Schizosaccharomyces pombe: one gene and its partner. The gene in region 2 interacts genetically with the main gene of each other region. Each region holds a gene or a part of one and is shown on either strand. Other genes may lie near its edges.

Region 1 (5,370 bases), 2.9 Mb from region 2:
ATTAAATGATACATGCTTTCATAAACAAGCAAATCTTTTTTTGGCGAGGAAGTTTAATTTTGAAAGGAAAAACAATTACACATAGAGAAATCAGGTACTTACAATACCGGCAAGAGAAGCAGGCTGCATCTTTAAACCATTCTTTGGGAATCAAAAGTTGAGTATTCCAAGCAAGTTAGTATTGTTACAAAGCCGGTGATTCCAAAATTTCAAACAATGAGGAAAAAGATGCAACTGATCCGTATGGGAAATTGAGATTTACAGAACGGAAGTGCTTCAAATTGATGTCTTTATTATAAAAATTATTAGGCTCAAATACTTGGTGTTACATCTTTAGCTTGCGTAGGAGCTGACTTTATTTGCTAATAGTGAGTGTTGATATAATTTGCTAATTTCATACTTCTCTGACTCCAAGAGCAATGCAAAATACACACGCTCATGAAATAAAATATCAGTAATCCACTTGCGCAATTGGAAAAAACAACGCCTACAACATAGTACCTAAGTTTCTCCCTTTTACAATTCATCAAATCATACATTCTTCAGCTCGACTAAGGATAAATTGTATTCATTAAATACATAAAATGTTAAAAGTCATAAAATAATTCGCTAGTAAATTAAGCAAAAGGCTAAACTGTATGCCGGGATGCCATCAATCTCAAATGATTTAAATAATACAATACAGGCAAGGATATTAGAAGTAGTTTTTGATTATAGACAAAGTGTTTGTTACCAAAAAAGAGCCAAATTTAGATATGGCATTTTGGCAACCCGAGCAATAAATAAAGACATAGCTTCGAATGATGAAAAATGAAGGATATACAAGCGAAATGCCGAAGAAAAAAAGAAATAGACACAAACAAAAAGGCGATGCGATGTTGGGGTAACTACGATTGAATCGACACATCGTCATTATTGGCATTAGAGGGTGGGATATTTAAATTTCTGGTTGAGATATTGGATAACGAGGATGAGTAGTTGGGTACTGAAGAAAGAGCTCGTTGCACACTTGAATTTGACCTTTGACCATTAAGGGAAGATATCGGAACAGATTGTGTAGATACTGGAGATTCATTTGGAGCATTATTGAAAAGCCACAAATATATTTTCCCATCTTCAGACCCACTGACTACCTCACAGTCTCCAAGAGCAACCGAGGTTACAGGCTCCGAGTGATTCTTCAACGTGTGAACACATTCACAAGCCTCCCAAACTTTAACAACACCATCATGAGCTCCCGAGATTAAACGAAGGTGATCTGCCGCAATTTCCCATACACCTTCAATGTGTCCAAACAATGTATGAACACATTTTTTCTTCTCGATGTCCCATTGCTTTATTGTGCCGTCCAATGAGCAAGAAAACAATCGCGAATCAGCAAGAGCTAAACTCTGGACAGGGCCAATATGAGCACTGAAAGTATGAAGACACGTGTTTGTTTCCAAAGACCAAATCTTGATGGTGGAATCGTCGGAACCGGAAAGAACAAGTCCACGATCTCTAATTATGCGGACAGAATTGACAGGTCCTGTGTGACCGCGTAAAGTGATACGCTTACCGCCAGAAAAGTGCCACAGCTTAACTGTACAATCTGCGCTTCCAGAAACAAGTAGCGTAGAGTCAAACGTTAAGCATAAAACACTATCCGTATGACCATGTAAAATAGAAATGCATTCAGAGGTTCTGTAGTTCCATATACGAATAGTTTTGTCCATTGAACCGCTGATAAGTTTACACTGATCGAATTGAAGGCACGTAACACCACTGCTATGACCTTCTAATAGAGCAACTTGTTGAAAGGTAGCAAGATTCCATAATCGTATAGTGGCATCATAACTGCCGCTAGCAAGAATGTTCCTTACAAGTTGTAGACACATAACACCGTCAGAGTGGCCACTGAGAACAACCTGGCGACAACGACCATGCCGCCAGTTGCATTCAACTCTACAACGTTCAGCATATACTTCTTTCCATGGTCTGGTTTTAAAGGGAAGAAAGAATTTGGAATCGGAGTTCGGAGAAGGTGGTTTGACAGAAGAAATAGTCTCTTCATTACTCGACGTCGGATAATCGTCCAGCTTTGCTTTTTTGACGGGTGAAGATTCATGAGCCTGATCGACGCCTCTTTTTGTAAGTCGTTCATAACGTTTTTGTATGGAAGCCTTTGCTGCGTATAAGGTATTTCTTTCGAGTAACGGAAGTCCCCAGCCGCATTTTTCACATTTTCGATTAATATGTTGTTCACACATCCGATGCCATATAACATCATCATCAGCAAGTTCTTTCCAATGTTTACTGACTTGTGCAGCTTGGCAAAGGCTTCTAGCATCCAAAAAAGATAAAATGCGAAACGAAATTTCAACAGGGAGCAAAGAGAGAAAATCTAAGCGTACTAGAGAATCTAATGTGCTGGAGGCAAAAGAGAGAAGAGAGGACGAACAGTTGTTTAAAATGCCTTGCAAAGCGAGTTTACGTTCGCTGCAAGAAGCCTCTGAAAAAGCAGCCCATACAGCTTCGACACGTTGACGACTTTTTTCGCTTAAACCAGACAATTCATTATGCATTGAAGAAATATTAAAAGCCGAAACGGAGATGGATTGATCACCTTCTTTTTTTTCCAGTAAATGGCGTTGCCATAGCTCTGCTCGTGGTGCAAGATTATCAGAGGGTTCGGAAGTGGGAACAGATTCATAACCTGTAGTCATTTTTTTTATAAAGGTTAAATATTAAGTATGAAAAGAAAGAAGGGACAATGCAAAGGTTGATTTTAGGGTAAAAAAAAATAGAGTGGATAATAGCACAAAAAAATGTTATCACGGATGATGCGGGTAGATGTTAACAGAATGAAACCAGAAATGATTTGGATAAGATGATAGTAGTATAAAAGACTATAGTAATACAAAAAAAAAGGAGAAAACTATATGAAGATTGTAATAATTATGATAAGCGGGGAAAGTCAACTATCGAACCTTACAAAGTAATTTGTAAGTAAATCGAAAATTTAAAGTGCTAGCTGATAGAAATATATGGAAACAAGAAAAAAAATTTAAAAAGAGACACAAACTATGTAAAAGATAAACGAAAAAGAAACTAGAAGATCAAATATAAAATACACACAAACTCGTTGCTTTGGCAACCTTCAGTAAAAAGATGAAGAGTTGAGGTAGAACCAAGATTTTAATGATTCAAAAAACTCCAATAATACTCTTTATCCAACCACTTGATTATTCCAAATATGTGTATTTTCTTGAGGTGGCTTTCGATGAGGTTAAGGAGGAGAGGATATAATATAGAGAGGATTGTGAGGCCTAAAGACTAATAATCACCTAATGAATTTGAGATTTTGAGTAGAATTGCGAGATGTTAAGCGAATCTCAAAATTACGAATCCGAAGATAATGTGGATAAAACAAATTGCAAAGATGTCGTTCTATTCGTCTCAGTATATATATGTGCGTAGATCATTAAAAATCTGTCCACTTCTCAGTTAATGCAATTGATTTCGATTAACCAACTATTGCGCAATCTGCCACTCATATTGAAAATTTTTACTGATCTGCAAACGTTTAACAGCTATTTTCCACTAGATTAATAAAAAATAGCCAATCCTCACAAGTCGCACCTTTTTCGGGGATCGGGGGAAATGTCGCTGAAGGTGTGAAAATGCAAATTTTCTCGGATGTCAACAGTTTAATCAGTCGCTTCAAAGTTTGTATATTTCTTAATTTTGGTGAATTTCCTCCATATTTCTTCACTTTGTATGGCGGCAATGGAGCCGTAATGCTAAGCAAATCGTAATTGAGTTTGTAATAGCTAGCATCAGTTTAAACTCGAATGAATTAAGTAACCGCTTATATATTCATAAAAACTTCTAAGTAATTGAGCTAGGTGCGTTTATAGGGATGATTATTCGCTCAGAAAATGATTAAAACACTGCTCAACTTGTTCACCTATATATAGTTGTCGTAAACAAAGCTAAATCGATGATTTATTACAAGAAGAAAGAATACATGATTTTCGGTTAATCACATAACATGAACAATATTGAAGAAGGAAATAGCGATTTATTGAGCCGCTGTTTTTTTCATGAATACCGGTTAACATAGATTTTTAAGTATAAATAAAAGGATAATGACTAGCGGTTTCATTGTTCATCTTTGATTGAATATTGTTAATGTCACGTACGCGTGAAATATATAAAGTCGCCGAGGAATATGCATATAGTCTGCATATACATTATTTTGAGAACATATATTAATTTAAATTGTTTTTGTCACAAATTCAATATAATATTCTATGCATAATTAATTCATCAAAACGACTGTTGACCTATGATTTGCCCTTAATGTTGACTGATTACAAGTGATGGACATATATTAACCAAATATTTTTTACACAACTAAATAAATATGAACGTTGGTGATTTGAAAAGTGCCAATGACTTGTATGAATCTGTACGCTCAATAGAAGGAGTGACTGGTGTCCATTTATTTCGAATAAGAGATGCAGGCATTTTGAAGAGTACTATGATACCAGAGTTAGACGCGTTAACCACAATTAGCTTGGATGAATTAAACAAGTCTCCTACCGTTTTCACTAAAAATTTACTTCAAGGTTGCGGTGGAACTGATCTTGATGTGCCAGCGGAATTGAAGAGATTGGTGATTTTCGTATGCAACATTTTGGAATCCTGCAACGAGTTCACCGATTTAGGCTCAGCAAGGTTGTTACGATTGACTTTCGATTCTTGCCAACTGGTGATTATGTATGGTATGCTAAACGCCCGAATTTTATTTTATCTTATTTTTTAAATAAAAAGCGTAAATAAAGCAATAAATTAACTAGAAAATTTAGATTCTTTGTTCGTTGTTGCAATTACAAAGGATGAAACATAAAACTTTTTTTTGCCGTTCTTATCAATAAAATTAATTTTATTAATGTTTGAATCTATGGTAAATTAATTTTTATAAAAGTTTTAGCTCGTTTAAGCAATGAGAAGCTTCGCGTGCTTTGTTTGGGTATCCTGGGTATCACTGATAATACGCTACCGCGCTACAGCAACTTTTTATTTTCATATTTGTCTTGCCAAAGACCTTCACCCAGGTTGGGATTCTACTGGGTCTTTAAATGTTAAATAAACGCTTAACTATTCAATTGCCTTTTTATGCTACCCAAACCGCCTCATCGTCTAGATTTTGGCGAGTTCTTTCCCCAAAGTCTCGAACTGGAATAGCACTTTATGCTTCTCTAATATTGCTTTGCATATTTTTTACTATATTTTCTACTATGAGCCATCCCAGTCTTCAATGCTTTAGTCCTACTTCCTTGGTAGGAGCACAACCTTTGAAAAACCTCACACACTTGATTATTG
Region 2 (3,892 bases):
AGAATTGAGTTTATTCAAATAAGAAAAAATGATTATTTCTCTTAAAATGAATTGTTTTTAGAAGTGAACAGTTTTAGATGCTAGATGCAAACGTGAAAGATAGTATATGGTAATACAAAAAACGAAGGATTGGTAAATGGGAGTCCGGGAATTTTTATTTCACTTACGAGTAGAAACATGTAATTTTTTTTCTTTTATTCCATAAGCTTGCGATGTTTGAAGTCGTTGACAACGTCTTGCTTAGTTCAAACTGCTAGTCACCTGGGAATTATCTGAATAAATAAGCATTAAAATATGAACAAAGATTGGCGAGTCCAAGTTTATGTGAAATATCAACAACGATATACGTCGATTCATAGGAGGTTTGAACTCATCAACCTAAAGTTAGAAATACATGGCAAAAGAAATTTATCACAGATTGTTAATATGTTTGCAATCAGACATTGACTTAAATCAATTCTTAAGACTTGTTTGTAAGTGAGCAAGTTTATTATTGTTTTATGAATGATCGAGGTTGTGTAAAATGGCACAGTTTGTATTTGAAAGCTAATTTGGAATCCACAAAATTTAAGATATATAACAGAAAAGCTTTTATACAGCTGAAGTCTTCATTTAATACCCCGAATCCGTCATTGTCTTTTATTATAATACCGAGTTTCTATGCAAGTTAGGTAAAACTCCATATTTGAAGTCTTGGACATTGAAATACTTAAACTGTAACATTTGTTTTAAACTATTAGGATTAAATTTTCAAAGTTTTGATGGCACACATTGTACTATAGTTAGCAAGTATATAGAACGGCGATGGTTGACAAAAATGAACTACAAATGTAACCACGGAATGAACGTGAAGGTTTATCGGATTTTGATTTTAACGCTGTTTAATTTGTATTCAGCTACCTTTAACATTAATGATGAATTTCTGCTATTGGATTTCTAAAACTCCTCTGAAAGCATATAGCAGACAATGTCTTACGCAAATACAAAAAATGCTTTAAGGATTTCAAAGCGTTTTCCACTGATTTTTTTCTTATGCAAAAAGCAAATCTATTACTGACTTTAAGCTTGAACTTCAATCATTCTCATTTCTATTTCGTTTCCATATTCTATTATAGAGGATCTGTCAAGTAACATGTTTTGTATTTGATTCTTTTTTTACACAAGCAGCACTAGTATGAATAAGTTTTAAGAAGAATATGACTTTGTTCCGGAATATATTAACTGACTGAAAAGTAGAGAATATACTGTTTTTAGAAAAAAAAAATTGCGAATTGTCTGACGCACTATTGTTTCAATATATGAACCGTTGTTGGGGATGAAAAATGTTCAGTAAAAACCCCAAACTTAAAACTTATTGCGCATGTAGATCTAAAGTAGTTTATTCAATTAACTATTCGACTGACTATTACAACTGGGCCATTGATATATAAAATGAGCGAATATTCTAATGGCTTTAGAATTTTCAATATAAGATAAAACTTCCGATCATTTACACAAAAAGCAAGAACTTAAGACTGCTTTTTAACTCTCATTAATAGCATACGACTGATTTCTTTAGGATTTTTTTCCTAAATAGCAATTTGTTAGTGACTTATATAATAACGTTTTTCTAGCAGGTTTAAACTACTACGGTAACAACTTCTATAATAATTAACGGTGCACTATCTTAATATAGGATAGTTTTATGAGGATCTACGTACAGCTACACTACATCAGATTTTTAACGCGGAGATTGTAATCTCATTATTATCTCAACGCTGCATGATCCCGATCGCAGACGTGCTGGCTCAGTCATCAAATTTTCTACGATTACCAACGTAGCGTCGCCATTCATCGAGTCACTAAATTTGGTGGTTTAGCTCGTTTATTGCGAACGGTTGAGTGTGTTTTTTTTACCTTTGTGAGATATAATTTGATTAGTAACGATAATTTTGCCGTTAAGTCTTAGGTAAGCTTATTGTTGGAGAGTTCAGTTTTTTAGCGAAATTCCATGCTAACAATTGATTTTCAGTTAATTTTAAGAGACCAAGAGTCTCAAGATAAAGCTTTTGACAAATGGATTTTACTCCTAATAGCGCTATCAATCACTTGAATCTTAAGTTCGATGATGTTCCTGTCTCTGACGATTTTTCAAAGGATGATCTCGCAGAGCAATTAAATGTATTCACAAATCCATACTTTTTAGATTTAGAGCCTTCTAGTATGCTTTCAGAAGGCTATTATGGATTTGTTTCTCAACCTTCAGGTTCTTCCAATTCCAATAAGCAGGAAAAGAACGTGCAGCAACAGAATCCCGAAAAAATTTCGACTTTGCAGCAAGTTAAAGAGGAAGAAGTTAGCAATACCTTTTCTGCCCCTTTGAATGCAACTGGAAATTTTTCTTCTGCTAATCCTGCTTCAATTGATCTTGCTTATCTCGACTTGCAGAAACTCCTAACCCTACCTGATCATTCAAAGGAAACTCAAGAAAAAACTTCGTCTCAACGAGAGCTCTTTGAGCAAAAGTCTTCTGTTGCTTCAGCCTCCAAGGATAATGTTTCTTCTTCCTCAATTCTCCAAGGTTCAGCTTCCTCCAAGTTACTACCTGATCAATCTGCAAGACAACATCAAGTTTTGGTTGGACAGACTGCTATCCCGACTTCTGAAGCTAGCAGCTCTATTAACAATACCCCTTTACAAGCTCCCGTTTCTTCATTTGCTGATCAAAACGCATTTACCAATCCCCTTTCCACTTTTGCCAGTCCTGATTTAGCATCTGTATCTTCCCCTAGTCTTTCTTCTTATAAGGGTGCTCAGTCTCCCAATGCTAACAGTAAACGCACCAAAGCTACTTCTGCCATCCGTACTGCTGCTGAGGAAGATAAACGTCGTCGAAATACCGCTGCTAGCGCTCGTTTTCGCATCAAGAAGAAGCTTAAAGAACAACAGTTGGAACGCACTGCTAAAGAGTTGACTGAGAAAGTCGCCATTTTAGAAACTCGTGTTCGTGAACTGGAGATGGAGAATAACTGGTTGAAGGGACTTATACGTCCTACTTCTAACTTTTAAAAGTGGTTTTCTTTCCCTGTTATTTTATACCCCTGTCTTCTGCATTGATATGTTTATTTCTTCGATAATCATTTATTTAACATATAAAGGTTTTCTTTACAGGTAAACTTATGTTTTCTTTTGGAGCAAATCTTTTAATTTTCTTTTTTTCTGCGTATGCATCCAACTGCTACGTTCAAGTTCATCAGTTTTACGTTTACTAGGTAATGAATTTGATAATATACCTATTTTTCTCGTGTTTCTTGCTTTACGTAAATAAAATATAACGCTTCCAATGTGAATTGTTTTAAAGTAATATGTCAATATAAGCCAATATCAATAAATTTGATACTATAGGTTCAAGCTACTTAAACATCAAACTGTCAATTTGGCTGACCAGATTAACTTCAATTTGCGCCAATTCCTTTTCGATGATCTTATATCTAGCAGTTTGTCTTTTCGAAAATTCCTTAATCACTTTGTTACAATTTATGTGGTAAGCCTCAAGCTTTGACCTCAATTCCTTCTCGTTCTGTAAAATGCCCTCGTATATTTGATTTCCTATCATAGAAGTATAACGTTGTAAACCATCAATAGTAGCAGATTTGCTAGATGGATTGTATGCTTCGTTCTTCTCAACTGTCTTAAAAAATTTGTTGTAGGGTATTTCCTCGAGCTTGACAGTTTCCGCATTGGGATTCCTGTACTCAAGTTCCTGGCGATCTGATATCAGCGTACTGCTACTTGAGTCTGGCTCCTTGTCATTAAAACATTCATTATTAGGCGGGCTTGAGCAGGTACCATCTAGTAGACTGGTAATATTTGGAGTATTTGCTTGTTTAACAAAGGTAGAGAGATCAATTTG

What was found. Genes that interact genetically often act in the same process or in processes that back each other up.
Region 1: of zip1 (region 2) and pof1, a mutation in one rescues a mutant of the other (synthetic rescue), as found in Schizosaccharomyces pombe (one study listed by BioGRID).

What each region holds. Positions count from the first base shown.
Region 1 is NC_003424.3:1,372,179-1,377,548, forward strand, and holds pof1 (F-box/WD repeat-containing protein Pof1), read right to left. Parts: upstream 3,418-5,370; 5' UTR 2,706-3,417; coding exon 888-2,705; 3' UTR 544-887; downstream 1-543. Other genes in the region: SAGA complex deubiquitinating submodule subunit Sgf11, read right to left, coding at 103-129; protein mug15, read left to right, coding at 4,409-4,769, 4,854-4,894; SPOM_SPAC57A10.07 (uncharacterized protein), read left to right, coding at 5,127-5,370. UniProt on the Schizosaccharomyces pombe protein: Probably recognizes and binds to some phosphorylated proteins and promotes their ubiquitination and degradation. Required for the inactivation of zip1 via ubiquitination.
Region 2 is NC_003424.3:4,298,011-4,301,902, forward strand, and holds zip1 (DNA-binding transcription factor Zip1), read left to right. Parts: upstream 1-1,804; 5' UTR 1,805-1,948; exon of another isoform or gene 1,949-2,011; 5' UTR 2,012-2,055; coding exon 2,056-3,048; 3' UTR 3,049-3,391; downstream 3,392-3,892. Other genes in the region: meiotic recombination protein Rec10, read right to left, coding at 3,392-3,892.